Arabidopsis thaliana: one gene and its partners. The protein of the gene in region 3 interacts with the protein of the main gene of each other region in a pairwise test. Each region holds a gene or a part of one and is shown on either strand. Other genes may lie near its edges.

Evidence for each region.
Region 1: the proteins of DPA (region 3) and CYCD3;2 interact in a two-hybrid assay, tested with the Arabidopsis thaliana proteins (one large-scale study listed by BioGRID).
Region 2: the proteins of DPA (region 3) and TIP interact in a two-hybrid assay, tested with the Arabidopsis thaliana proteins (one large-scale study listed by BioGRID).
Region 4: the proteins of DPA (region 3) and CYCD1;1 interact in a two-hybrid assay, tested with the Arabidopsis thaliana proteins (one large-scale study listed by BioGRID).

The regions. Positions count from the first base shown.
Region 1 is NC_003076.8:26,834,400-26,840,143, reverse strand, and holds CYCD3;2 (CYCLIN D3;2), read right to left. Parts: upstream 4,005-5,744; 5' UTR 3,832-4,004; coding exon 3,331-3,831; intron 3,241-3,330; coding exon 3,039-3,240; intron 2,961-3,038; coding exon 2,830-2,960; intron 2,749-2,829; coding exon 2,514-2,748; coding exon of another isoform or gene 2,479-2,513; exon of another isoform or gene 2,270-2,478; intron 1,848-2,269; coding exon 1,756-1,847; intron 767-1,755; exon of another isoform or gene 676-766; coding exon of another isoform or gene 650-675; coding exon 596-649; downstream 1-595. Other genes in the region: AT5G67265 (uncharacterized protein), read left to right, coding at 308-328, 460-675. UniProt on the Arabidopsis thaliana protein: Promotes divisions in the guard cells (GCs) after the guard mother cells (GMC) symmetric division when in the presence of CDKA-1.
Region 2 is NC_003076.8:8,415,860-8,420,986, forward strand, and holds TIP (TCV-interacting protein), read right to left. Parts: upstream 3,218-5,127; 5' UTR 2,865-3,217; coding exon 2,687-2,864; intron 2,495-2,686; coding exon 2,214-2,494; intron 2,122-2,213; coding exon 1,864-2,121; intron 1,779-1,863; coding exon 1,320-1,778; intron 1,241-1,319; coding exon 1,061-1,240; 3' UTR 516-1,060; downstream 1-515.
Region 3 is NC_003076.8:541,801-546,961, forward strand, and holds DPA (Transcription factor DP), read right to left. Parts: upstream 3,156-5,161; 5' UTR 2,915-3,155; exon of another isoform or gene 2,630-2,914; 5' UTR 2,624-2,629; coding exon 2,505-2,623; intron 2,418-2,504; coding exon 2,356-2,417; intron 2,273-2,355; coding exon 2,229-2,272; intron 1,990-2,228; coding exon 1,918-1,989; intron 1,830-1,917; coding exon 1,689-1,829; intron 1,595-1,688; coding exon 1,526-1,594; intron 1,305-1,525; coding exon 1,206-1,304; intron 1,128-1,205; coding exon 1,057-1,127; intron 964-1,056; coding exon 762-963; 3' UTR 518-761; downstream 1-517. UniProt on the Arabidopsis thaliana protein: Involved in the regulation of the G1/S transition. Increases the DNA binding and the transactivation activities of E2F proteins after heterodimerization. The complex DPA/E2FA promotes cell division and acts as a regulator of the endocycle.
Region 4 is NC_003070.9:26,437,966-26,443,515, forward strand, and holds CYCD1;1 (CYCLIN D1;1), read left to right. Parts: upstream 1-1,590; 5' UTR 1,591-1,687; coding exon of another isoform or gene 1,688-1,831; 5' UTR 1,832-2,049; coding exon 2,050-2,322; intron 2,323-2,474; coding exon 2,475-2,561; intron 2,562-3,087; coding exon 3,088-3,186; intron 3,187-3,281; coding exon 3,282-3,483; intron 3,484-3,572; coding exon 3,573-3,709; intron 3,710-3,793; coding exon 3,794-4,015; 3' UTR 4,016-5,042; downstream 5,043-5,550. Other genes in the region: AT1G70209 (uncharacterized protein), read right to left, coding at 1,688-1,831. UniProt on the Arabidopsis thaliana protein: May activate cell cycle in the root apical meristem (RAM) and promote embryonic root (radicle) protrusion.

The DNA of each region.
Region 1 (5,744 bases), about 26 Mb from region 3:
ACTAGTACTCTGTTGAAAATATCATTGTTGTGATGTTTTGTGGTCCTTATGGTATAATATGTTTTGCCCCTACAGTTTCACATCTTATTTGATTAGTAGCAGTGCTGAATAATTAAACATAAGTTTGTCCTAACACTTAGGCTGGCCTATTGATATTTTGAGAGGAACAGAAAGACAAACGCAAGAACCGGACGTTCGTATACCCAAAAATTACGATTTTCTGCTCTTTTAGAAAATTTCTTTTATAAATTTAATTTCTGTTACTTTTTCCTAAACTCCAGTTAAAAAATTCTATTACAATATAGCTATGAACCTAAAATCCACGAAGGTATGATGAATTCATCTTCTTTTACTTCTTTGTATTTTTCGTTTAGTAATATGATAAATCATTCAATTGTAATATAAATTTGAAACGGATTAATTAAATTGTAATATTTGTAATTTGATTTTACTTGTAAGGAAATGGAGACTGAAAAAAGAAAAGAGGATGGATCATCATCAAAAGTGGTGGTGGAAACAACGGAGCAACGTTCCTCGGCGGGGAAAGGCACAGAGCAAAGAAATGTACAAGTGGTTCATCAATCTCATCCCAAAACTAGCGGCGACGTTCTAGTCGGAGCTGCTGCTGCCGTTGAATCCACCCTTCAATCTGCCAAAGAAGTCATCTCTAAATAAATAATCGGTTTTCTATTTTCTAGTACTTTCTTTACCACTGTAAAAAATCCTCTTTGTATTCCCATAATGAGACCCGTAATCTTATTAGCTTCACCTATTTTTAATCTATAACATTTTTTTCTTGGTTACAAATATCATGAAATAAAAAGGTTTATATGATTTTCTTTTTCCTCAAAAAGTAAAAATGTGAGCTTATAACACTGTTCAGAATAAAGATGAATGAAGCTTTTTCCAAATCTTTATTTCTTATCAGATAACTCATTAAAGGCAGAACCTTATTCCTTTTTTAGTTTTCTTTGCATGAAAAAAAAGAAGTATTTTTGTTCATCACCACCAATAAGTAACCATCGGAAGTTTCTCTTCTTCTTTTTTTTCGTTGGTTAATTTATTTCATGTCTTATTTTATTCTGTGTCTCATTATTTTTCCCAACTATTTGTGTGTGCTGAATTTGTTTAAATATGTAACAAGGATATAAGTAACGTATAAAGACCGTGGAGTACAAAAACGTGAGCTTTACCGTGTGGGATGTTGGTGGGAAAGACCGACGTACGTATACTACTTTAAAACAAAAAATTATAAAGCTTTTTTTCTATAATTGACAGGCTTTTTTATTTTCTTTTTTTATGATGGAAAAAAAAATGACAGGCTTTTTCTTTTTGTTCTGCTAAAAAAACATATCCGACCGTTGAAGACGCTATTTTCAGCAATATCATCAATTTCGATAGCTAAAGTAAAACCATTTTACCAAAAAAAAATACAAAAACAATTACCATTTGAATGAGTAAGGACTAAATCATCAAAGATTATTAGGGAGGTCTTGATTGGTTTACTCACTAATATCTCAAGTAATATTAAAAACCCCAAGAAAGCTACTTAAAATCTCATATTCCAATAAAACCAACACATTAATTCATATATATGTCAGAATCTATATATATGTGTGTCTGAAATTCTGATAAATGTCCAATGGGTTATTCACAGATGGTGCTTAAAAGCTAATAACATATTTATTGTCTTTGTCTTTGACAAGACATGGGACAGTAAATTCAAGTCATAGGAGGAAGGTGTTACATACTTACATACATATATGTCCACCAGATTTTTTTCATCTTCAAGGATAAAAACAAGACGAGTACTTGAACCACCCTTTGTCTGGTCTCAAAATCCTTTCCTTTCAAATCAAAATTGAAAATTACCCCAAAATTTAAAGAGATTATTTTTTACAAAAGAAATTAATCTATGGAAAAAACCAACCACTCTTCTTGTTTCTGCCTAGGTCTGCTCAAAAGGTACAACTGAGGTTTTCTTTCACATGTTTTACTAACCCAACAGAAGAAATCAGATGTTTCAGGTTTATCATTTATATCAACCACTCTTCTTTTTCCAATCTTATCTCCACAAAATTAAAAGACGTCCAAGAGATTTCCATATCAAACAATTGACATATCACGAGAGAGAGAGAGTGATAGATAGAAAGAAAGAGAGAGATACTTTTTACTTTTTACTGTTACTGATGCTCATATATCAGTCAATTCTTACTTAGTCTAAAGCCCTATATTGCTAGTGTTTGTTGAGATTTCAAGGACGATGTACTACTCCTTACTTTTTGACTTTTGAATTCTCTATTCAACATTCTACTTGAACACAATACTGATTGATCAATGAATATTATGATTTAAGAGGCAGAATTAACTTAGAGTTATCACAAAATGTTCTGCCTTCAAATTGTAGCCGATGGCCGATAATAATAAGCAAAAGAGAGATTGAATTTATGTTTTGACACATTTGATCAAAGAAAGGTACTAGCGAGGACTACTAAGCACATCGAGAAACATACGGTTTATTGAGGGCAATCTCATTTGCTGCTCCTGAACTCTTCTTCTCTTGAGCAGAGGCTCTGGAGACGAAGATGATGAGGACACTGAAGCAGTAGTGGAGACATTCCAGGAGCTATTTGAGCTGTCATCAAAGTCTAATACACCACTTGGACTGTCCTGATCAACCAAATTCATCATCCTCTTCTTGCTTGGATTGTGCTCCAACAACAGTTCATAGCATTCATTTACTTTCTCCTGTGAAGTCAATGCTGAATCAGATTCTCATCTTTAACATTATAACTGGACTAATTTACAAAGCCTTTTTAAGCAACAGACCTGATTGACTTTGAGTAGAGTCGTTATTTGAGATTGGTATTCAACTTCATCACATGGCTTCAATTCCTCGAAGACAAGGATCATTATTGCAGTAGCTAAGACAGAAGGGAAGTACCTCATAAACCTCGTATCTGCGACCAAGACTCAGAATTTAAGCAACAAGAATCCAAACAAAAACATCGTAAAGGTTTTAAAATGGGAAACCTCACCAGCAATAACAGAGATCAGAAGACGCTCACACTTCCTACAGAAGTCTAATTGCTGGTGCCATTTAGAGCCAAATCGCCGGATAATGTGATCAAAGAAAGAGATTGGAGTCACAGGGTGCATTCTCCATTGAAGAGTAGAAAGAATCAAAAGCTCCATTCTTTGAATCGTCTTAGCTTCAAAGAGATATCTTGCTTCTTCCACCTTAAACCACAAATACACAACAAAACAACTCCATTAGAACTCAGCATTTCAGCAAACATTATAAGAAGGAGAGAGAGAAAAGAAACTAACTTGGAGGTCTAAGAGCAATGGAACTTGAATCTCTTCAACTTTAGCAGCTAAAGACAAAGAAGCCACAGCAACAAGCTGAGACATCCATGGCTTATCAGTCTGAAGCTTTATACTTGTCATAAACCTATCGAAGTAGTTCACAGCAAGTATAGCCGTCAATGAAGTAAACCCATAATGAGATTTAACCCTAAGAACCCAATCTAAAGCCTCTTTCCTACAAGAAACCAAAAAGCCATCTAAGATTTGTTCCCCAAAACATGGATTCGTTTCGTTTTCCTTTGAAATCAAACTCAGAATCTCATCGTCATCCCATAAGAACATATCCAAAAGAGGTAAAAACTGAAACTTTACAACACTCTCATCAGATTTCTCGAGAAAATCTAAATCTCCATCGTCATCAAGATCGTCCTCCACAAACCCGGTTTCTTCCTCGCAATAGAGCCCATCAAGGACACAAAACGCACCGTTTTGTGACGCTTCTTCCTCTTTCTCCAAAGCCATCTTCTTCTTCTTCACGGAAGAAGAAATTGCAAACTACAATGCTCATTATGCCATTGGAGCTAGTTGTTTGGTCGACGGATTCTACAGTGAAGAAAGGAGAAAGAGGAACAAGAGACCGGACAAATCTCTATGAGAAAGCCAAAGGGTTTTATTATCTCACGCCTTGTCTTTTTTTTTTTTCTTTCTTTCTTTTCTTTTAATTTCTAATATAATTTATTTTATTTTATTTTAACGAATTAACGAATTCATTAGCATTCTTAGTTCACGCGAATGATGCGCGTGAAAAACACGCTCATATACCCTATCCGTACGATGGAGACAAACATATGTCCCGATCGGATCGTGATGATTACGCTCCCAGTCCTATGTGTTGCGGATTGAGTTAAGTCATTTTAGATTTTAATTACTGATTAACAAAGATCTTGACACGTTAATTTTTCTTTTATTTACAGAATGAAGTCCATATTTCTACATACGGTATGATTTTTTTTACATACAATCGTATTTTAATGAGACTAATTATGACATGGTTTTTTTTAGGGGAATACATAAAAGATTCGTAATAAGAATCTAATTATTTATTGTTCGTGGTATTTATTATAGTCACGTCTTTCTTGATACATACATAGCTTTGCAGATTCTGTGGTCCAATGTACATAAATTGAAAGCAAAAATTCGTTTTTATTTTATTTTTTCTATAAATAGTTTGATTTTTTTTTATGTATTCTATAAAGATCTCTTTAAAAGAGAGATTATTTAATTCGAACCTGTCTCGCTTCTTTATATGTTAAAATTCGGATTCGAGGCAAGAAAAAAAAGGCGATTAGCAGATTAAATATTTATGTATTTCTTGCCTTTACAATAAAAATTAAATTATCCAAAAAGGATGTTTAAAACTTTAACAACAACATTAGTGGTCAAAATACCTTCTTTTGAGTTTCGTTATAATACAAAAATGAAAGATTGAACAAAACAACAAAGGATATTATTCAAATGAAAGAAGTGAAAACGAAAGAAAGAACAAATCAAATTAATACTTTCTCCGTTTTACAATATAAATTGTTTTAGATAAAAGCACGCAGATTAAGAATATTTACTATTAAAAAGTTCAACCAATCATAAAAGATACTGCATATTAATATATATAATCATAAAGTAATAAAATAATATATAATTTACATAGAAACTTGAAAACAATTTATATTGTGAAACAAAAAATTGGTCCAAAATAATTTATATTATGAAACAGAGGGAGTACTATTTATGTTAAAATCTGAATATTATTAGTACTCCATGTTAGTTATTGGAAAAGAAAGAGAAACACACAAGTAATATTTTGGATGTTATTTGTATTGAATGCATGATCAAGAGTCAAGACAGACATATAAAGATAAGATATAAGTAAATCACGAGAGGGAAAGATGTGAAAGAAGCCATTGGTAACAAGCGAAACGAAGCCTGAATCTGAGAGAGATTACTACAAAGTTTAATAGCGACTTCTCATTTCCACCTTTCACATCTTATTTTTCATTTCCTTCTTGTAATTTGTCCCCACCTCTCTGCATTTCCTTCTTTATCTTTATCTGAATTCAAACCATGGTCGCCGTTGTAAACCAGTAACTTTTGTAAGTAAAATTGATAGTCCCATGTAAAAAAGTCACTATGGGTGGGAGATATGATGGTTACAGAAAATACGGTAATAAAAAAAAAGAGAGGAGAGTTAAAATTTTGTAGCCTCTCGAGAACCAGAATTTTTGACATTATTTTCTAAAACTTAGCATCCAATCAAATAATCGACTTTAAAGTAAATGTGTAATTGAAGAAAAAGAGAGAGAGTAAAAATGGTACTAATAAACCTCCCGGCACTATATGAACGTACTAATTATTACATAATCTGACGTAAGTACTTAATC
Region 2 (5,127 bases), 7.9 Mb from region 3:
TGTTTTTATATATTGGAAAGAATTGTATTTTCTTTTCTTACTCACACATAATTTTGAGTTTTATTCAAAGTATGATACAACATTGATATATACTACTTATATCAGCTAACACATTTAAAAAGTCTAATAATTGTTTTGGTACTTACGTATTTTGGGTTTTATTCCAAAGCAACACGACAGTAATATTGATACAAACTGCTTCCTATGTCTTATTGTAAGTGTTGTTTAATTTTTTTTACAGATATCAAGAAAACAACTAAATTTTGAAATTTTATTCTTGGTCCATACAATTAAGTAGTAAGGATACAATTATTCTTGTAGAAGCCGGATTTGCCAGAAGAGGACCGGCCATCTTTGCTAACAAAGCCAAAAAGATGTCGGGCAAAAGCCCAAAACTTGGGACGGCAGTTTACCAGAATAATCCGGTCGGCAGAATTCAACAGTTCCTCTCTCTAAAAGATATGAAGGAGAGAAAAGAGAGGTGATCATATTATTTGAACTATTCAAATATGCATTCTTTTGTCCAAAAATTTTGTAATATATTACTGGGCATACTTAATGCCATAAAATACCCAAATGACATGTTTAACAGTCCATACCCTCAATCAAACCGTCCTATCATACTAAACATGTTTAATGATATACGAAATAAACACACCTCTAATAAATATCTCTACCCGGTCGGTTCGTACTAACATGTTTGACACCGTTTTCATTACGGTGCTACCATTCGAACTCGTAGTTTGTTTCTGATTGTACAAGGCTACTAAAAATGTCAAAAACGCAATCTCAAGACACATGTGGTCAGGAATAAAAAAATTTCCAAACATTACCATCTGAATATTATGAGTCGTCGTACATGTTAACTACAAGTCTACTACACTCCTAAACCGACCATGGTTAAGCTTAAGCCGACAAAAACAACAACAATAACAACAGATGCAGAACCAGGCCAAAACCCCTGTTATACACACAAATCCGCGCTCTCTCCACCCGTAAAAACCACTTTCTTTATTCTTACTATATGAATTGATCGGAACAAACATCACATTCAGCGGATTTATGCGACTAGACTGCAGACCGACATCACACACACAACCGCTACCACACCGACTCTGAAAAGCCCTCTGTATGAACATCCCATGGCTGCAATTTTCTTGAATATGAAACTAGTCCTGCTCTTTGATCTTGTGAAATTTCCACATCCTTTCGTCATAGTTTCCGTTGTTGTGTCCTTAACCTATATACATTTTATCGCATAAATATAAGGATCATAAATTGTAATACATGAGAAGGTATGAAAACAAACTTCTTCTCACCTCTTTCTTGATAAATTGAAGTTGTGTACTGTCAGTTTCTGACTTGTGGCTGTTAAGGTTAACCTGAAGACGCAGCCTTCTTGAGGCATCGCCCTGCATTACAAACTGCTCAGCACAACCCGGGGCTTGTGCTCGTCGAGCTCTAATCTTAATTCCTCTCTTAGATTCATCATTGATCTTGTTGCATGAGCTAAGATTCTGTGGCTCATATGGGATCTGTTCTGGCTCATAGGGAATGTCAAGAAAAGAATCCAAGAACTTGGACATATATTCATCCGCATCATTTGTACCGTACTGAGTCTGAATGTAATCCTCATTGTGGTTTTTGAACAATTCACTAGACTCAGATTGTAAGCCATTGAAAGAGGAACCGAGCTCAGATTGCACCTGAGAGTGCAACGGAGAGAACAGCTTCGGGGAATCAAACTCCATAAACGAGAGCCAATCGATATCGTCAAGCTGTTGAGTAAAATGAAGTTTGTAAGTTTACAAAGCGGTTGTACCGCCTCCTGTAATGAAAAGAATGTATTTTGTTCATCCTTACCCCGGTGGTTGTAACCTCAGGGACAGAGTATCCACTACGACATTCGCTGGGGATTACAAGAGAAGACTCTGCGACGTCACAAGGATTAGTCTCTTCTGTTTTAGGGAAAACAGGAGATACCTCAGACATTTCAACCTCGTCCACAACAGTTGGAGACGATACCGCTGGTTCAACTTCACATGACTTTGACTCTTCTGGTTCAGCAGCTCCGTTCACAATATCTTGCTTCTTAAACAACTTACAAACAACAAACGGATTCTGCAACCAAAAACAATCAAACAAACACAATCAGAAACACAAAAGACCTACACACACAAGTTAATGCCATCATTTGCCAAGTTGGTTTTTACCTGGCCAGACTTTGTTCCATCAAGATCCTTCTCAGTAGCACGATACTCATGCATAATCCAACAAGTTCGTGTCCCTTTAGGAGCACGACCTGTATAAAACACTAGAGTCCTCTTAACACCTATAATCTTAGTCTTTCCTGATTTGATCTTACGGTCTTTTCCCGTCGCCTTCCAGTATCCAGCCACAGTAGCTCTATTCATTCGACTTCCACTCGGATATTTCCGGTCCAAAGGACAAAAGAAGAGCCACTCTGAGTCTGTTGTCTTCACCACAGAAAAATCTACACCACAAATACTAAAGTATAAATCTTTACTCAAATTCACTAAGTCCACTACCTAAGCTAAGAAGTTATTGATCATATTGTTCCAAATTCAAACATGCATAAACCGGAATTGAAGCCTGGGAATTGCTAAACCGAGACTAAAGAGCTAAAGATGAATCAACGAATTGATTTGATGAAGAAAGGAATTACCAGGCAAATCCCAAGGCTCCCATTTGCAGATATCGATCTCACGAATTACTCTAACGTCGTTATCGTGACCGTTGATCTTGAGCCGGAGATAGTACCGGACTAACTCTTCGTCCGTTGGACTAAATCTGAACCCAACCGGTAGTGAAGCGAGCGATAGTACTTCCATGTCTTCTTTCATAGTTGCGTGAGACTTTGAGAATTCGAGAGGAAAAGAAAAAATCACAAATTCGACTTCAAGGTGATATCTAAAATGAATTTGGATCAAAGATGCGATTCAAAGGTATATAGAAGAAAACTAAGAAAAAACCAGATTCCAGAATTTGATGAAGTACGAAAAGAAAAAACCCTAAAATTTGACACGATTTGGTAAAGTGGAGAAGAAGGAGATGTGACACGATTTGGTCAGACAAGAGAGATATCAAAGACAAAGAGATGAAAAAGTGGCGCGTGGATAGGCGTACCACTGTTTCCCAGAAAGTCATAAAACACAAAACCACGTTCGTTACGCGTAAAAGGCAAAACAGAATGTAAATACCTATTTTACCCCTGAAGTATTGCAGTAAAATAGTTACGGAAATAGGGGTTATATGAGTCAAAAGGTGAGGATGTCTGAACGAGAGATGTCACCTAGCGAATCATATATTGACACGTTGATGCTATAAAGGAAGCTTCGTGATAGTTGTACGGAAGTTAAAGAAGAATTAAATAAACTTAATTGGTATCATATTGATTTACCAATATGAAACAGTTTACACAACTGGCCAGCCCATCTTACTAATAGTGTTTGTTGTTAAAGCCCAATAGATGAGAACCCAATTCAACCATTTTTTTTTCTTGGTCGTGTGAAGTCTGAATCAATTTATTTAAACCAAATAATGTAAATCAAATAGGTTTAAACTTTAAAACGTTTGATATCGAAGTCCGTTGGTACTCAAAACTAAACCTCAAAAACAGAGAAGAAAGTAGCGAGCGAAAAGGAAGATCTTATTTATCTAAACTTAACGTTCGGCCGTTTACAAGATATGTTTACAGCCAAGCCTCGTTTTAAGAGATACAACAAGAATAAAACTACACAAGTCAATTGTCGAGCTTATGTCTTTGAATCCGAATGAGAATGTTCTTGTACTATTCTCGTCCGACTTCAGGTGTCCTTTTCTGGCATTCCTCTGTCAATATTTATAGTACTTCAATGAAAGTACACAGTACCATTTTCTGAGCGATATGAAACTTCTATGGCGGCTGATCCTTTCCAGAAAATGGGCCTCATCTCGCAATGGGCTGCGGCTTTCTCAGGGGGGCTGGTCTTCATCATTCTTAACTGAGGTTTTCAATGACTCTTTGTTTGGGCCTCCGAATGTTAAATGGGGCGAAGCCCATATCCAACAAAGTTTATCTAAGTCATTGCTTTTTGTTTTGTTTTTGGGTTTAGACCTCTGCGTTTCTAGTTTGAGGATAGTCTCTTATAGTGTTTGATTAGTTGGAATGTAATCTTTTACAACCATAATTGTTTTTGTGAAGACCAAATTGTTGTGAATTAGTTTTAGAAAAAAAAAAAATCTTGTGACCGTAAATCTTATATTTCTACAACCTAAAACCATATGTTGTTATAAGTTCTATAAGTTATATTTTTAATTTAATCTCTCTTTTATTTTAATTTTATTTCCTCATGATCATTTTTTATGTGTTGCTTATATAATGTACACTAGGCACTAGATGGATATATACTAATAGTATAAATACCATGTATAGTTTTGTTTGTTAATGTATACTTATGTATAAATTTTGAACAACATTTGAACAAAAAATTTATATGTATATATTCTTTTCAACTAATATGTAGTTATTATCCGACTAACATATAAACTATTTTACATGTTTATATAGATTCCATTTAACCTATATGTGCATCACAAAATTTGTGTTGTTGTTTATTATATAGTTTGGTTAACTATAATATTTTATAAAATATTTACTAATCATATTTTAAGATACGACTAATAAATTTACTTCTAAGACTTTATATCCCTAATATCTACACGTATAACAATAAAATACACGGTTGCATTTTACACGCTGACGGTCAAAATTTTACAGCGAATAATTTACGGTGACATGCCAACCAATCACTTAGTTACTAAAGACGTTTACTTTCTATCTCAAAGTTCAGTTTCTGGAAATATTTTATTTTCCGTTGTTTAAAATCATAAATGTATGTAGCTTTTAAAATAGTTTTTGGCTTTCGAATTTTAGTTTGTAATTTTTTTTTTTGGTGTAAATGTTAGTTGTTTGAAAAATTTGAATGGTAATTAGATGTGGATTTTAGTTTAGTTTTAATTTATTTGAAAAACAAAGAAAAAATATTAAAACTTGAATATGTGGAAATCTCTCTTTTTATTTTTATTTTATTTAGAAAATTATGTATTTCCTCATGATCCTACTTA
Region 3 (5,161 bases):
ATCTTAGTTGTTCTATAAGAAAATTAGGGCTGATATGATATCTACTGCTTTTGTGGACTATATCAGCTACAAATCTAATTATACAGAAGAGAAATTGGTTGTGCTTGAATTTTAGTACGTCTATATACCTCAACTTTAACTAAACAAGTAACTAATAGATTGGACTAAAATGGGCCAACACTAATTACTAAATAATATTAGATGATATTGATTTAAAATGTATTGAGAATGAGTAGATTAAGTTGATGAAAAGAATAGTATATAGTATTTATTTTGACGGCAATTGAAAAACAGTCCAACATTCTTCCGAAGTGTCCCCAACCAATTTCGCTTTTCTTTCCCTCGAACCGCCGCGATGTCTCTTTTTTTCCTTTTCCAGACAAAAAACATTATTTTTGCATGGGAATTGCAAATTTTGAACTTTCCTAGCACACGCGCCATTTAAGCGCGTAAATTGAATCTAACTAGCTTCGGTAAACCAACCTAACCGGAGACTAAATTTGTTAGACCAATCAAACAGAAGGAAAATAGCCAATAGATTCAACACGGTTAGTTTTGGTTTAAAACAATAGTTTCTGTTTCCGTTGAAATATCGCATCAAGTTCGAATAAAAAGGAAAATTGGATAAACAAACATTTGTTGGCCTATGAATTGATTTTACAGTCTCTCTCAATTGAACACTAAACCAGATGTATAATTTTTTAGTATACCAATTAGATCATTACTTCTTCTTCTTGAAGAATTTGGGAATAGAAGCTCGGTCAGCGAGTATCAATGGATCCCGAGTTCCAGCAAACCGGGCCTGAGGTTCCAGAAGCAATGCAAGAACTGGATGAAGAATGAGCGGAGCTATGTTGAGATTGGTGATGTGTAGATGAAGAAGAAGATACTCTGTTCTGTTCTTGCTTCTGTTCTTGCATCAGTTTCAAAATGTAAGCATCATCATGGACCGAGAAAGGTGTGCTGCTCACAACAAAATTTACGAAGATTTCAATTCCGATTTAAGAGATAGCAGAACTGATTTTGATTTTGAGAAGAAATGTTGTTTATTTTTACCTATTGAAGTCGAGGTGTACAAGTTGCATATCTTCAGAAATCTCGATTTCGACTACTGCGTGAGGGTTTGTCTATAGAGATGGAAATAGATTAGGATATCGAAAAACATGAAATAGAAACTACGGACGAGAAAGAGATTTTTGAAGTACCTCAAGTAGAATGAATGGTAAGGTAAATCCTTCTGCTGGGCCTTGAGTCTTCACAACCATCTCTTGATTTCTCGACATAAGACTCTCAAGACTTGAGACCTGATGATAACAACATTTGAGTAACATTATAAGCAAAACGTAGAAAGACGGTTTAACATTTCATTAAGACAACATAAAATGATTCAATACACGACGTATCTATGGATTCTAGAAAACCTGCAATATCAATAACTTTTGTCATCTATTGACATGCATAACAAGATCTCAAATTCTAAGAGAGTCTTGTATTTAAATTTTCCATCAAACAGAAAGAAGATCACCTTTTCTCTCAACTCTTTAAGAAAAGCAGCCTTCTTTTGCACACTGCTCATAACTTTATTACGATCCATCTGCAAATAGAGGTAGAGAGATTAGTAGAGAAGACGAAGAGAGAGAGCAATTACATAGATGAGATAACTGAAAGGAAAAGCTTGGAAGCTAAACCTTGACTTCTTCCACATCCTTTTTGCAGGTAATAGGAAGTCCTTTCCACCGGATTTCCTTTTTATCCCTTGCAATAATATCCAACGCCATGAACACATTGAGCGCATCGTAGACTCTCCGCCTTATGTTCTTCTCATTGTACTGATTGAACATAAGAGAATGTTGTTATAGCTTTTTTTTTTTCCAAATAACTCAAGACAGATGATATGAGCTTTCCATCTCGCTATACCTCATTTTCATTCAAAGGCTTCTCTGCGTTTTGCTTAATTGTGGCAAAATCTGAAATAATTTCGTCTGCAACCTGGAATCACAAGAGCCACAGTCTCAAACGTAGATTTTCACATTTTCTGATACAATGCCTCTATATAAGGGCAAGACTCCTGATTAGAAGAAGAATTTGAGACAATGCTCAACAACTAACTTAGAGGATTGCTTCTTGAAGTGAATACTTGTTCATATAAAGATCAATTCTAATGCGTCTTAAACTGAAAACTCATTGATTACATCACCAATTCCTTAATGGAACAAAGAGAGTAATACCTCCTTGTAAGTAGTTATCTTCTTGGCTTCCAACTTCTGACAAACTGTGTGAAGTTAAATCAAAATCAGCAAAACAACAATACTTTCACTTCAGGCATGTTTGAGCTAAGAGAGATATATCACTGACCCATAACACTGAATTGACGAAGCCCGCCTCCAGAAGTTCTTGATTGCCCTTTCTTCTCTGATCTTTTAAACACAAATTCAATACAGACATTTTAGCTCCAAGTAAAAAAACCAGAGACTTTGTGAGTAAGAAGAATAATTAACACTGACCCAATTTCAGAATCATCATCAACAATCAATTTCCTTCTCACTGGAGTTTTCTCAACGCTCACTGAAGGATGTTGCCTCTGCTTCTCTGGAGTGACAAACAACTCCATCTCCATACTCATCCTTCTCTACACAATTTACCAATTAACAAAGTTAGCTACACGAAATCAAATCAATTAGTTGTTCATGTCTCAAATCCATCGTTGACTAAAACCGATGAATCAATAGACACAATCTAAAAAACCCTAAATTGTTGACAGCTCCAATTTCAATTTTTTAACAAAAGCTAAACAAAATTTATGAAATGGGAATCATCAACCAGTTGGATTAGATCTAACGATGGTGAAGAAAACCCTAGTTCAGAGAAATAAAGGCTAAAGCTCGAATCCGTTTCAAAAGATCAAAGAACGAACCAGTGATCGATCTTCCAATGGCGGAATAAAAAAAGATGGAGATTTTTTTTCTAGGGTTTTGGTTTTACTCTTTTTATTACACAGAGATGCGAACAACAACCAAAAAAAAAAAATCGGAGATGAAATTACTTTGGGTGAGAGTTCCCGCTATAAACAAACAAACAAACTGTAACAACAAACAAACACAGAATTCTCCATAGCCCATCAAAAGCCTCAACAAAAACAAAACACACGCACTCTCTGTGTTCGAACCCAACCGCTACGGTGTCGTTTTTCAACTTTGGCGGGGGATTTAAATGGGCCTTTTGTAACTCTTTGTAATTTTAAGCCCGTTGGGCTAATTATATGTCTAAAATCGATCACGTATTAAACTCTTTGATAATCGATAACGTTACCAAATAAATAATGAAAATTTGGCTGTCTCTATTACATATGTTGACAGTTGTGTTTGTATTCGATCCAATTGTTTAAAAAATAATAATATTAAGTTCACTGAATCTTGAAAAAATGTTTGGTACGTATGCATTTAAGTTATTGAAAACATTATCGCTAGCTTATAAAGTTTATGATTTTTTCGTCTTATATATAAGACATGGTCCGTATCATCAACTTGTAACTATTAAAAAAAAAAACTCACTATTCTCATATACTTTTTATTTCTTTTCTAAGATGCTTATAGTTTTACACGTTAGTGCTTTAAGCCTGCAACGTGTGAGAAGGTTGCGTTGCACTTTCACTAGATCGAAAGAATATATGCATAGTTGCTTGATCCTTTTTCTTTTTCTTCTTTATACGATGATCGTACTCGTATAGTACTGAAAACTATATGATAAATTTCAGCATAACTGTTTGTTCAAGTTGTTAACCGATTAAAAGCTTTAAAGTTTGAAAAAGGATATGTTTATGATAATTGCAACCACTTGGTACTTGCCACTTGTTCTCCATGATTGTTTTTTTTCTCTCCATATGAAGATTAAATTAAATTATTTTGTTTGTAGTTTTAACTAGTTCGAGTTGATAAGAAAGTTTGGAGCATGGCCATGAGAACCAAAGCTGTTCCTAGTTCCTACGCTGCTTGATTGCGGAGAGTCATTCTCTTACTCATTGCTTCATCATCATTTCCAACCGTTTAGAGTTTCACTAGCCATGTTTCTCTTCTTCACCTCTTTTTTTGTTTAACCTTTATGTATACCTTCCTTCTCGTATACCTTAATCAGACCGGTATGGACTAATCAATTCCTCATGCTATTCATAGCTATGCACTATCATAAGATTTTGAAACAATATAACTTCAAATTTGATTTGTTTACTTTGATGTTTCTATGTGTTGTCAGAATATATAAATATATGTTTTGTCATTACAAAAAAAAGAAATAGTGTGATCTATTTAAATGTTTGTTTGCTGTTTGTATATCTGTCGTTGTTTTGGGAGATGAGAGGTGGCAACTCCCAATATCTTTTTGGGGTCATCTTCAATGTCTTCTCAGATCTCAATTATTGAGTTTTTAAAGTCATGTTTGATTCTTTCTTCTCTTTTTTTTGGTTCACTAATTCTACTCTTTAATTAGTCTTCTTTTTTTGTCAACTTTCGTTTATATCACATAAACAATTATATCTATTGCAGTAAATATATTATTCATAATGTTCAAGTGTCCCTTGAGGAACTGAACATACAATAAACAAAATAATGTTACCGTATCATATGGTATGCGTATTTATTCCAGTAGCTTTTTCTTTCTTAACATCTGAAATCTAGTAGAGTAATAGACTATTTATTTAATTTTGGAAATTTAATATGTTTTTTATATTTTTCCTATGTTTGCCCAAAATTGTTTTTACACAATCATTACTCGCCTTCATAAATTAAAAACTGACATGGTGAAATACATCAACAAGCTAATATGATACTCATAAAACTGACTCAAAATGCATTTTTTTTTTTTAAAGTAAAAAATATGTTGTCCTCGTAGTTATCCTCAAACTCTTTGATTCGATTGTTTTAGAATTTATAATACACTTAGATAGTCAACAAAGCTGGATTAGTTAATTAAATTCGTAGGCCGATGTATACTAAACACTGATGATGACGCATAATCCTACTTCAATGGATAAATAACTATACATAAAAAATAGTATTAATTTTGTTACACTCACTGGGGGCACAATAATGCAATTCGTCACTACAATTGATTTAAATAATATTTTAGGATTAGTAATCATATCACTCAACTAATCACCAACAATGTC
Region 4 (5,550 bases), on a different chromosome or scaffold from region 3:
GATTTTCTTTAAGAAAATAAGACATTAACAAAAATGACGAACCCTACCACGAGAATGTAGTCAGTCTGATAAATTGTTGTAGGTTGGGAGGTGCATATTTTCCCTCCTTTCAAATTTCAGTTTCTTGACTTCATTAATGTTAATATAAATAAACATATACTGCATGATAAAAATGTTAATTTAACTGTAAATGTGAATGCAAATCTGAATGTAAGCCATATGTTTTAAATATTGTCTACCTAAACAGAGAAATGAATTAGTAGCCCAACCTAGCCATAACAAATAAATAATGAAGAAGGTCTTCTTCCGCCGAAGATACCAAAAATATATTATCTTCTATTTCAAAAAGTATCCCATTTGTTTCTAATTTCTATGGTACAATGTAGTTGTTGAATTGTAATTTTCTCAATGTTAATTTCGTTATCTACGTAAGCATTGTCAACTATTTACATAGTACATACAAGTGATAGTTATATATTAGCTCTTCCATAATTTTTAATTCTTATCAATATGAAAATATTGACAAATTTATACAAATCTGCATAGAAAACACATACAAAACAAATATGAAACAATGTTAAAAAAAAAAAAAAATATGAAACATTTTTTCTAATACACCTGAAAACTAAAATAAGGGGTAAATATATTAGAGGTAAGCGAAAAATCTACTACAATCTAAACCGAGATCATCCCAATGGTATAATTAAAGTCTAAAATCTAAATCGAAGGAGCAAAGTATTTTGTAAGGCACACGTGAAAGAAAGTAACTACGGGAGTGATTAATAAAAACGGGCCAATGATTTAACACTTTTATGGCATAATTAAACCAAGAAGGGACCAAATAAATATGACATATTGATACAAAAAGGAATGTGAAGAAAATCTCCGGTTCTACGAAAAGGACTTCCACTACTCTTTCCCACACGCTCCAGACCACTGTTTGCTTTCCTCTGATTAACCAATCTCAATTAAACTACTAATTTATAATTCAAGATAATTAGATAACCAATCTTAAAATTTGGAATCTTCTTCCCTCACTTGATATTACAAAAAAAAAACTGATTTATCATACGGTTAATTCAAGAAAACAGCAAAAAAATTGCACTATAATGCAAAACATCAATTAATTACATTCGATTAAAAAATCATCATTGAATCTAAAATGGCCTCAAATCTATTGAGCATTTGTCATGTGCCTAAAATGGTTCAGGAGTTTTACATCTAATCACATAAAAAGCAAACAATAACCAAAAAAATTGCATTTTAGCAAATCAAATACTTATATATATACGTATGATTAAGCGTCATGACTTTAAAACCTCTGTAAAATTTTGATTTATTTTTCGATGCTTTTATTTTTTAACCAATAGTAATAAAGTCCAAATCTTAAATACGAAAAAATGTTTCTTTCTAAGCGACCAACAAAATGGTCCAAATCACAGAAAATGTTCCATAATCCAGGCCCATTAAGCTAATCACCAAGTAATACATTACACGTCACCAATTAATACATTACACGTACGGCCTTCTCTCTTCACGAGTAATATGCAAACAAACGTACATTAGCTGTAATGTACTCACTCATGCAACGTCTTAACCTGCCACGTATTACGTAATTACACCACTCCTTGTTCCTAACCTACGCATTTCACTTTAGCGCATGTTAGTCAAAAAACACAAACATAAACTACAAATAAAAAAACTCAAAACAAAACCCAATGAACGAACGGACCAGCCCCGTCTCGATTGATGGAACAGTGACAACAGTCCCGTTTTCTCGGGCATAACGGAAACGGTAACCGTCTCTCTGTTTCATTTGCAACAACACCATTTTTATAAATAAAAACACATTTAAATAAAAAATTATTAAAACCTCAAAAAATCTCTGTTTCTTGTTTATATATCCAAACAAATGAATGTGTTAAACCTTCACTCTTCTCTCCACACAAAATTCAAAAACCTCACATTTCACTTCTCTCTTCTCGCTTCTTCTAGATCTCACCGGTTTATCTAGCTCCGGTTTGATTCATCTCCGGTTATGGGGAGAGAATGAGGAGTTACCGTTTTAGTGATTATCTACACATGTCTGTTTCATTCTCTAACGATATGGATTTGTTTTGTGGAGAAGACTCCGGTGTGTTTTCCGGTGAGTCAACGGTTGATTTCTCGTCTTCCGAGGTTGATTCATGGCCTGGTGATTCTATCGCTTGTTTTATCGAAGACGAGCGTCACTTCGTTCCTGGACATGATTATCTCTCTAGATTTCAAACTCGATCTCTCGATGCTTCCGCTAGAGAAGATTCCGTCGCATGGATTCTCAAGGCGAGCCTATTCACTTTTTTTCTCTACCTCTCATTTTTTTCAATGCTAAAATACGCCGCCGGAGAGTGTGTAGACGCTAAAATACGCTGATCGAATCGTTACATGCAGAGAATCTTTTTTTTTACAGTAGTGTGGTATTGTTTGGTTTACAGGTACAAGCGTATTATAACTTTCAGCCTTTAACGGCGTACCTCGCCGTTAACTATATGGATCGGTTTCTTTACGCTCGTCGATTACCGGTAAATGTTTTAAAAACGTCAACGTTAGTTAATTCTATTGTCTCTGTTTTTTTATTATATTGATATGACAAATAACAACCCCAAAAAGTCAGTTTTATTTCCCTTTTTTTTTTTCAATGGATCGATTTGTTTATTGACTTTTCTTCAGAAAAAAATGAAAACGACTAAAAATTTATTAGAGCAAAAAATTATAATCGGTATAGAATAATTTAGTAGAAATTAATCTTATATTGGAATGTACGTAAACGATAGAACAGGAGCGGGCTGGGGAACTTTTTTTCGTTTTTTAATTATTTTATTGAAATTTATATTTTCGATAAAAAATTACATTGACGTTTACATAATAATAGTATACTTTTGCAGTAAACTTTCCACTTCATATATCGGCTTTATTGAAAACTTTGTAATCATAGTGTTAAAACGCTCCTACTACTATATAATATTTTAAATTAATTTTGTAATTAAACTTAATAGAGTATATAGTAATCAATGATTATATTAATCAGCTTTAATTTCTGTAAAATAGGAAACGAGTGGTTGGCCAATGCAACTTTTAGCAGTGGCATGCTTGTCTTTAGCTGCAAAGATGGAGGAAATTCTCGTTCCTTCTCTTTTTGATTTTCAGGTAAACATATATTATCATTCTTTCTTTAACATTCTGAATTTACTCTGTTTTTTTAAGAAACTTTAATTTATGTATCTCTGTATAATGTAATGTAGGTTGCAGGAGTGAAGTATTTATTTGAAGCAAAAACTATAAAAAGAATGGAACTTCTTGTTCTAAGTGTGTTAGATTGGAGACTAAGATCGGTTACACCGTTTGATTTCATTAGCTTCTTTGCTTACAAGATCGATCCTTCGGGTACCTTTCTCGGGTTCTTTATCTCCCATGCTACAGAGATTATACTCTCCAACATAAAAGGTACGTAATATTTGTATGATATATGATCCATAATGTCATTTAGGTAGCACATTTTTGGGTTGGTTCTAACACATGACCAATTAGTACAGAAGCGAGCTTTCTTGAGTACTGGCCATCGAGTATAGCTGCAGCCGCGATTCTCTGTGTAGCGAACGAGTTACCTTCTCTATCCTCTGTTGTCAATCCCCACGAGAGCCCTGAGACTTGGTGTGACGGATTGAGCAAAGTAGGATTTGTTATATCACGTTTAGATGGAACAAGGGAGTAACAGATTGCTAATTAATGTCTTTTGGTTATATTTGACTTTCAGGAGAAGATAGTGAGATGCTATAGACTGATGAAAGCGATGGCCATCGAGAATAACCGGTTAAATACACCAAAAGTGATAGCAAAGCTTCGAGTGAGTGTAAGGGCATCATCGACGTTAACAAGGCCAAGTGATGAATCCTCTTTCTCATCCTCTTCTCCTTGTAAAAGGAGAAAATTAAGTGGCTATTCATGGGTAGGTGATGAAACATCTACCTCTAATTAAAATTTGGGGAGTGAAAGTAGAGGACCAAGGAAACAAAACCTAGAAGAAAAAAAACCCTCTTCTGTTTAAGTAGAGTATATTTTTTAACAAGTACATAGTAATAAGGGAGTGATGAAGAAAAGTAAAAGTGTTTATTGGCTGAGTTAAAGTAATTAAGAGTTTTCCAACCAAGGGGAAGGAATAAGAGTTTTGGTTACAATTTCTTTTATGGAAAGGGTAAAAATTGGGTTTTGGGGTTGGTTGGTTGGTTGGGAGAGACGAAGCTCATCATTAATGGCTTTGCAGATTCCCAAGAAAGCAAAATGAGTAAGTGAGTGTAACACACACGTGTTAGAGAAAAGATATGATCATGTGAGTGTGTGTGTGTGAGAGAGAGAGAGAAGAGTATTTGCATTAGAGTCCTCATCACACAGGTACTGATGGATAAGACAGGGGAGCGTTTGCAAAAGATTTGTGAGTGGAGATTTTTCTGAGCTCTTTGTCTTAATGGATCGCAGCAGTTCATGGGACCCTTCCTCAGCTTCATCATCAAACAAAAAAAAAATCAAGTTGCGAAGTATATATAATTTGTTTTTTTGTTTGGATTTTTAAGATTTTTGATTCCTTGTGTGTGACTTCACGTGACGGAGGCGTGTGTCTCACGTGTTTGTTTTCTCTTCAAATCTTTTATTTTGGCGGGAAATTTTGTGTTTTTGATTTCTACGTATTCGTGGACTCCAAATGAGTTTTGTCACGGTGCGTTTTAGTAGCGTTTGCATGCGTGTAAGGTGTCACGTATGTGTATATATATGATTTTTTTTTGGTTTCTTGAAAGGTTGAATTTTATAAATAAAACGTTTCTATTATATGAAGGAAAAAGTACATTGAACTCAATAATGGTCGTGGAGAAGGTTAATAGCTACGTGAGAGGATAATATGAGTAGTGGTGAGATTTGATTTTGGTGTGGCCTGTGGGAGCACGAAGCATGTGAACATGTGTGTTGTGGATCGAGTGTATGTTTTATTGAACGACGAACGTAAAAAGACAAAAGAAAATTGTATTTGTTTAAGACCAAAAGAAAAAAAAAAGTATTTAATGTTCAAAATGTAATAACCTTCCTCATTTTTGCCATAATTAAACACATTTCTTTGTTTTTGTTTTTTTGGGCAAAAGATTAAGGGTTTTATATACCTATTTTAACAACAGTAAATATACAAAAGAAAATCAAATTATGAAAAAAACAAATTACAAAAGAAGTAAAAAATAGTGGTTAATTTCTCTCTTGATTTTAGTAAAGAGGAACAATTAATAGGAGCAGTAGCATACATGTGATGTTGATCTGTCTCCATGTCAGAGAAAGTGGTCTCACCACGAAACCATAACGTAGCTACACCGTTCTATCTCTCTCGAACCCCTCAAACATTAGCCACACAAAAATACCATCTTTGACTATCCATTTATATATGTATGCACACGATTTTACAAGTAAAAAAGGAAATAAGAAGTGAAAGAAAAAGAAAAAAACTTACTGCAAAACAAAACATTTTACAAAAGT